2 linked regions of the Drosophila melanogaster genome follow. The protein of the gene in region 1 interacts with the protein of each later gene in a pairwise test. Each region holds a gene or a part of one and is shown on either strand. Other genes may lie near its edges.

The links.
Region 2: the proteins of CG15262 (region 1) and Rpn13 interact in a two-hybrid assay, tested with the Drosophila melanogaster proteins (2 studies listed by BioGRID).

Annotation. Positions count from the first base shown.
Region 1 is NT_033779.5:15,295,837-15,300,143, reverse strand, and holds CG15262 (uncharacterized protein), read right to left. Parts: upstream 2,337-4,307; 5' UTR 2,198-2,336; coding exon 881-2,197; 3' UTR 777-880; downstream 1-776.
Region 2 is NT_033778.4:13,957,736-13,961,924, forward strand, and holds Rpn13 (regulatory particle non-ATPase 13), read right to left. Parts: upstream 2,670-4,189; 5' UTR 2,584-2,669; exon of another isoform or gene 2,493-2,583; intron 2,474-2,492; exon of another isoform or gene 2,375-2,473; 5' UTR 2,354-2,374; coding exon 1,833-2,353; intron 1,664-1,832; coding exon 910-1,663; 3' UTR 810-909; downstream 1-809. Other genes in the region: CtsL1 (cathepsin L1), read left to right, coding at 3,459-3,530. UniProt on the Drosophila melanogaster protein: May function as a proteasomal ubiquitin receptor. May promote the deubiquitinating activity associated with the 26S proteasome.

The sequences.
Region 1 (4,307 bases):
AAATTACACATTGTACTTGCGGTGGGCTGTATATATATATATATATATCTATACTCGTATACAGACTGAGCACGCCTAACGTTCACATTTTTCCACATGAAATTATGAAGTTTCCATGGCAATTAATACGCATGCGCAGAGTTGCGAGCTCCGGCGAGTCCGAATCCCAGCGAGCAAATCCCAAACGGCCATTCCAGGCGGGTGTTGTCGTCCGTCTCCAAGCGGCTCGCATGTCAATTTGATGGCAATTAACTTGGCTTCGCTCCGGCTTTTGTTTTAATAATAAATTTAATGAGCTGCCAAAAATGGTTGCAAATTTACGTGGCAATTAGCGGGCTAAATGACGGCGACACTTGGCCAAGAGATCGTGTCTGGGCGGAAAGCTGCGACTCCAAATGTGCAACTGTCCGTCTGCTCCATTTTGCTAATGAGCGCTGCGATTTTCCTCGTATCTTTGGGGCTTGGCTATGAAGGTGGTGGTGGTGCTGGGTACTCAGTGGTCTTGTGTGGATTGTGGATTTGCGATGGCATTTGGAGGGTGTGGTTGCTTGGATTTTTTTCGGCGGTGGGTCCGTGGTTGCAAGGTGACTAAAACATGGGTTGGTCATCCGCTGGTTAACTTTTAATACAATAATAAATAAATAGTGAATAAATATGAACACTACAAATTCGCAAAAAACACCAATTGATAGAACTAAGAAAACAGGCAACTATATATACTAAATATAAATAAATACATTCCCCACACTGAATTTATTAATAAAACGCTTATGAATATTTATAAAAAATTTAATTTGTTTTTATAAAAAAGATGCTACAGCGTCAGAGAGAATTTTTAAACCCGTATATCCCTGGCTATTGATGACAAAAGAACTTTCTTCTAAATACCCGACATCTGGGGATGGTATCCGTACGTCACATACAGCTCTTCCTTGGATAGAGTGCGCTCCAGGATCTCGGGATCCAGGTAAAAGTGTCGTGGCAGGATCTTCCACTGCCACATGTTGAAGTAATTGTACTCTCCGAACTCCCGGAATCCGTGATATAAGTAGTTGGGATTGTCCGCCTGGCGAATGACCCAGAAATGTTCATACTTGTGATAGCGCCATCCACGTTCCGCCAGTTCAGCAGCCGCGAGCATCTGCATCATGTCGCCAGCATATGTGTAGAAGAAGAAAAATAGGAGCTCATCATGCATTTCCTCGATTTTGGGCTCCTGTAGGCTCATATTTACATTGAAGAGATAGTTCAATGGCAATTTGTAGCTCATCTCCTGAGGAGTCAAACGGGCTTCTTGAATTGGCCCGGTAAAGATCGAGTCCGCGGCTCCGCCTATATTGTGGGCAACATTATTTCCGAATAGAAGCGGGTTCTGATTAATCGATCGCAGTTTCTTGGCCAGTCCCAACATCCCAAAGGCTCCCTGAATGGTGGAACCCGAAGGTTTCGCCTCCACATTCGAAGTCGTTTCATTAGTGGGTGAGCCCAGCTCAAATGTGACTCCACCCAGTGGCATACCATCACTGTTGGTTATCAAGCGGGCAAAAATTTTGCAATTCTCGAATCCGGGTGGTGGTTGGATTGCTGGTTTTGCCAGGGCAGCCCTCTTGTGGGCCGCATTTATAGCCCTCTGCCTGACGCCTTCGAGCAGGAATTGCTTGGTAAATATCATGCTCAAATTTAAACGGAACGGATTGCCGAGATAACCGTACATATGGGGCAGCAACTCCATATTCTGGCGCTTCTCGGGAGCATGGGTTGGCTGACGGAGCACCTCGTTGCCGTTAGCGTTAACGCACGGATCACTGGAATTACGGATAACTGTATTTCGAAATTTGGCGAGTTCGACCTGCTCGCTGTTGCTCATCATGGCTGTCCAGTCGTCGGGCACCACAGGGCTCGATGTCGTTGGTAATGCGGTTGGTAATGCAGATGGTAATGATCCTGGCAGAGCCGGAAAATCTTCGCGAAAGATGCTGAACTCCGGCGCAAGTGGTTGGGACGGTGATGCGGACGGCGGCAACTCCTGTTTGGGCTTATTCTTTACCACATCCACGTACAAAATGGGATATCCATCCGGGGTCTGCAAAGACTCGGGCGATGATAATGGCGATTGGAAAGGCGGAGGAGGCGGCGGACTTGGAGAGCTCTCCACCTCCTGCTGGTCATCCCCAGTATTGTAATAATGACGTTTCATATCTTACTCTGGATTTCTATAAGACTCAGAGCTTATCTCGTAATTTATAAGCGTTGCGAGGAAAAAACACGTGTGGCAGAGATCGCTTTGGTTTGCAATACTATAGCTTGCCAAAATGACATTTGAGAGAGTCCTGATTAACACTGATTTCCGATAAAATATTCGATATAAAGCTTGTAGTCGAATGTGTTTGTGATACATATTCATACGCGAAAATTACTAAAAGTTAATGTGTCAGATTTTTAATAGCAACTCGTTAAGCAGGGAAAAATATAGATTATATAGATAGATTATATAGATTATACATATATACTTAAGTCGTTTTTCAGCTAAAAAACAAAAATCATAACAAACCTGAAACATTGAGTTTACTAATAAATTAACTTCTCGCATTGTGTGGGTGCCACGGAAATTGCCACAAAGCAATTTAAAAGGTATGGTCATAAATTCAAAAAAAATTCACCTGCGCAGCAGCCAAAGGAAAAAGAATAAAATTGTGCATAAAAATAAGAATGAGACGCACAAAAAACGTTCGCCTATAAAATATTAAATAAAAAACTGGCGGGGAGTATAACCCATTAACTTAAACTGACACCATACTAACATAAATCTCGTTCCTTGGCCAAGCAAAAGTCCCTGGGAATTGACAAAAGGAAAAAAACGAAAAAAAAAAGGAAAGGGGAGGGAAAATATCTTGGCTAATAGTCCAAGTGCTCCTGCCCACAAAATGTTGAGGAGCACATGGTCATTTGCCTGCCGCGAATCAACGAACTTGTCCAGCGGCCTCAAGAGTCACAACACTCTTGGGATCAGGTGCACGGCTCCCACTGCTCCTTACCTGTGCTCCCCAAATTAAGCACAAATAATATAAAATACAATAACGTAGAATCCCAGCCGCTGGCAAAGAAAAATGATACACATAATCGCCGCACGGCCAAGTGCAGAATTTTCAGATCAAAAAAGCAAAATACGTTTAAGTTTTAGAACCGTACTTTGTAATACCCTTGCAATATCATGTGAGCTTATAGTCCTTATTTTATATAAATAGATCGTGTGATTTGCTGCTTCATGCTGCATATTCCTTAGGTCATCATGTATAAGTTACCACTTAATATGCTAAGCACAACCAAAAATACAGTACTCCTGGCACAGAACACTTTCCAAATACCCATGTACAGAGTATATAGCAATGCATCCAGATCCCAGGAACGCGACTAACGAAGCCAGCGAAGCCATCACGAACTGCGGGCAGAAGCTGCTCCGGCCACATAAAGTACAATAAATCATACTCATGTTGCCGGGGACAGCGACAAAAGCCGCCTGCTCCGCTCCACGATTCGCAGTCATACTGGCCACGATCACCTGGCACTTGGCCTGGTCCACAGATGGGTCAGGCCAATTGCGAAGCCATTAAATCGCCATGGCCAGGGCCACAGTCGAGGCAAGTGGAGTCTCTAGGCCACGGAGGTGTCAACTGGAGGCGATCCTAAATTGGATTTTGGCTTTCATTTGATTGCAAAATACTCATTTTTGTATTTCAGAATAGGTTTCTCCCGCACCTGACGTATCACGTGACCATTCCGCAAGCTAAGTTTCCTAGATTACCCAGACATTTACTCATTTCGAGGTGATAGCACACTGAAAACTAAAACATTATTCAAAAATACTTACTGCATATATAGAGAGTATTTTTTGGGTGCTTGAACTTGAATTACAAATGAACTTGTAAGCTTACATATGTAAAGCGTATAAAACCCAGACCCATAACCCCCACTTTTTATTCGCAGAGTGTGGAAAACGCAGTGGGGATCAGGACCTGTTGGCCGCCATCAAGGCGTGCATTATGGAAATTAGCATCGGCTTAAGAGACGCCCCATTCGTCGGCACAAATGACCCAACTCCAAGCCGCATCGGGTGCGTGCCGCCATCTCGGCTAATGACCAGCGGGAGCAGCAGCACTTGTAGTTGCATCTAAGACATCAGTAAGCACCGAAAGAAGCTCTGGAAGCAATCGTCCCACAGCCCGGCGAGTTTTACGAGCTCATTGGAAGTGCTGCTCCGGCACGGGAAGAGCCGAAACATGTGTATGTATGTACATATTCCTCTCACC
Region 2 (4,189 bases), on another chromosome or scaffold:
CTACTTTGGAGGGAAAAGCTTTCCCCACAGCTCCGCGAAGCAGTCATGCAAAAAAAAAACATACAGGCTGCCACTAGACACACACACCTTCTCACGTCCGCCAAAAGCACCAACACACAAACACACACAGGCACAGAGATTGCTGCAAAATGAAAGCACCAACAACAACAGATACAAAAACATCCAGCCCGCAACGCAAAAATTGGCGAAAAAATATGGCAATTACTGCAGATCTGGATATATCCGGGTTTGATTCGCCTGGCGGAGATCGCTTGAGATCGTTATGTATGAGAATTGAGAGTCAGCTTCGGAAAATTGCGAACGCGCGAGTTTTGCACAAACACAACTTATTTGCTGGCCGTTTTGGAATTGAATAAAATAAATATTGTTGCGTGTGCCTGTGTGTGTATATATCTGTGTGAGACGGCTCTCGCTGAGAGAGCGCGCAATTCGCGCCAGAAAGGGACGACCAGTGTGTTGCGATGAGAGAGCGGGGCAGCGAGCTTTTGTTAGGGGGACACCAACAAAATGACCTTGTCGGGATTAATATTACCGTTACTTCCATATATCCCCCCATTATTAACTTCAAAATTTAAAATAAATTGTACACGTTAGACTTTGTTTTTTTAAATTAAATTAGGTAAGCCAAAAACCCAAGTATAATGAGTATAATGATGCATTCTGAAAAGAGCTGGACGAGTACTTACCAAAACGCGTATCCTTTTATTAAAGTAGTAATATTTTAAATATAAATTAATAAGCCGTTTTGATGTATATCAAACACACAATTAGATAGATAACTACCGATTAACTCCCATTTGAATTTATTTAGCATCCAAAAATCACTCAGCACATGAAAAAATTTGCTTTCGGATTCCATATCAATGACTACCAAGCCGCACACGTAAGCTACTTTTGCTTCTCCTCCTGTTTTTCGGTAGCGGGATCTGTGTTCTCATCGCGGGCCACTGAAGTTGGGGTTTCGGGATCGCTGGCCTTCTTCTCGCTGGCGGAGGGTTTGCCACCCATGGTGGCACCGGGGGGCAGACTCTTCTCCAGAGCACGCACAAAATCCTCTAGATTGCCAGAGAAGGCGGCGGCCACTGCTTCGTTGGACAACTCGAATTGCTTGATCACAGGTCCCAGCTGGGCCGATTGCAGGGCACTGGAGAACTGGGCCAGAGCCTGCTGGAACTGCGGGGAGGTGATATTGTCCTTGATCTGCTGCTTGCGATCATCGTCCACATCCTCCGACTCGGGCAGGTGCACGATCAGCGTCTTGACATGCTCCGGATCGGCAATTATCTGATTGATGGCATCGGCGCCGGGTAGGGCCGTCGATAGGTCAATATTCAGGGATCGTCCTGCGCCATGTTCGGGGGAGAGATTGGATAAGTAGGCTTGGAATGGATTGGCATAGGCTCCGGTCGATTTTGACGCCGTTGTGGTCGATGTGGTTGAGTTCTTACCGGGGGCATCCGCATCAACGGAGGAGCCGGCACCTTCGCCGACCTGCGAGTTCACATTGCTGCTGCTGCGGCTGCTGCCCGATTTCGATGGAGCGCTCGGAGTGCGCGGCACACTGACGTTTTCGGGCGTCTGCAAGGCCGATGCCCCACCGCCACCCGATGAGGAGGTGTTGCGCGACGAGGGCGTCCGGGAGCTGCGGAGAATATAGAAAGGAAAATATTGAAAAAGGGGGTGAACTCAAGTTCTGGCTTCATTCCTTCGATTACATGCTTATAAACAATAAAAACGATACCCTGTAAGTTAAGAAGCTATCTACTTGACTAGTTCTTGGACACTATGGCTGCAAGGGTTTAAATGCTCACTTCATTTGGCCCAGCAGCGAGCTGAGACCACCCATCTGGCCAACGCCGCCGAAGAGCTGCATCAGCTGCTGCTGCGACATGTTGTTGAGCATGTACTGGAGGTCGCCGTCGTTGCTGCCGCCGCCGCCGCGCTGGTGGGCGGATGGAGGGTTGTTCAGCAGCTCGTTGATGCGGCGGCACTGCTCGTCGTCCTTGTCCGTCTTGGGCTCCTGCATCCAGAAGAACATGCGGCGTGTCGATGACTTGAACTTAAGCACATAGACACGGCCCGTCTTGCACTGATCGACGCGCTTGTACTCGAAGTCATCGGGGAAGACGATGAGATCGTCCTCCACCTTGCCGGAGGTGCGATCCTTCCAGCAGAAGTGCATCAGGCCATCGTCACTCTGGGTCATGTAGACCAGGCCCTTGCGCGGATCCGGATGCACCATCTTGCCCACCATGTTCATGCGACCTGCGCGGAACTCCACCAGGTTGCTGCTGTTGCTGGAACTACCCAGTCCACTTTGTCTTCCAAACATGATGCGGGTGCTTCTTGAGAGCTGGCGAAGATTGGATGAAGAACGTATTGTAATTACGACTTTCTTTGGCGCATAACTCGAAAGTGTTTTATGGTGCCGTGATCGGTTTGGGGTTATTAGTAGTCGCTGCACTACTTACGGGATATATAATGCGTTTACTTTGTTGAGTTTATCAAAAATTCAGTGAATCGTCAATTCCCAATGACGAGCAAAATTTGTCTTCTTCTTACCTCAGCAGTGTTACCATCAACGGGTGAATTCTAACATTTAGTATTTCAAAACACTGTTGAACAAAATTCAGTTTAGACATTTGTTGTATAATTTAAATTGAGTTCGTTGAGTGACTTAGAAATCTTTCGATTGCAAAAGTAACAAGAGAGGTATAGTTTTTAGTTATTTAACACTCATTATTAAATAAACATAAACTAAAAAGCTCTTGCATATATTTAGGCTGACCAATTATTTCGATTTAGCGACTGAATTTGGCCGTTTTACACACAAGAACTGCATCACTGCCCACGCTGTTATCGATAAGCCGTCTGCTCAGGCAACTTCTGGTATTTCCAGAAGATTCGGACTGGTCACTCTGTCGGAGATTTCTTGTTTAAACAATTTCTGCTGGTTTTCATTAAACAACGAAAGGTCTTTGGGACTGGATCATCAAGAGCGACTTGTTAAATACAATCGGTTGACTTGCACATTAGTGTTGTTTCAGCCAATTAAAAAGAGTGCAACAACAGTGATAAATCAGTGAATTTACTGCATTCCTTGCGACGCAATTCCGAGTGGTAAGCAATATATGTAGTCTTTTTAGTTATTTTCGAGTTGAGAACGCAAATATACCTGCCCTGCATTAATGCCGATTAATTGCTTCGTATTGACTTGTTGAATCTAATTGCGTCATGTCTGTGTGGCGACTTATTTACACTTTAATTGCACTCCACAATAATCAACAGTCGGCATCTTCGTCTATGCCCGTTTTTATTGCCCCTTTTGCTTTGCGCTTTAGATTCTGTTGCGCTTCTTTGTTTAGATTTTGTCCAATTCCCCTTTGTGCTGACCCATTTTTCTAGTCTTTGTGGTTTTTAACTCACCTGATAGCCAGATGAATCACCTTGGCGTTTTTGAAACCCGTTTTCGCCCTCGAACTAGGCACAAATCGCAGAGGGCACAATTGGTAAATAACAACTTTTATCAAATGCCTCTCACGTTTCTCAAAATGGGCGCAAAAACAGCAAGACAATGATAGAAAAACAATAAGTGAAGCAAATCGCGCAAAAATGGCAGACTTTGAAAGCAATACGAAGCTGCGAGGCAAAGTGGAATGGCCGATAAGATAACGCATCGCCATCGAAAAAATAAAAAAAAACAAATATTAAACTATATTGTTTATCACAAAGCAAATGTCAATATATTTACAAACGCCCCGCAAATCAGTCAAGTTTTATAGAAATAATTTTTATGTCTCTATAAAGAGAATATTTTACGCTAAAATCGAGAGAAGCTTCTTTAAAGGATCAAATTTCTCAAATTTGAACCGTTATTTATTCTTTCATTTTCACTCTTTTCTATGCTTACAATGATATATTTAAAAACTAGTTTTTCAAAACCATGTCTGTTACGAATTTAATAAAGAATTAAAATAATATATTTACAAAGCTTCTATTGCTAGATCTCAGATTGCTTATAGTTTTATACATTAAGTTAGCCTCAAATAAATAAATAATATTAATAACCTTTTTTTTATTATAAATTTGCAATAAATTGCAATTTGGTGCAATAAATTCCATATTTTACCCAATAAATATTAAATATTTTGCAGTGATTTTGATCGTT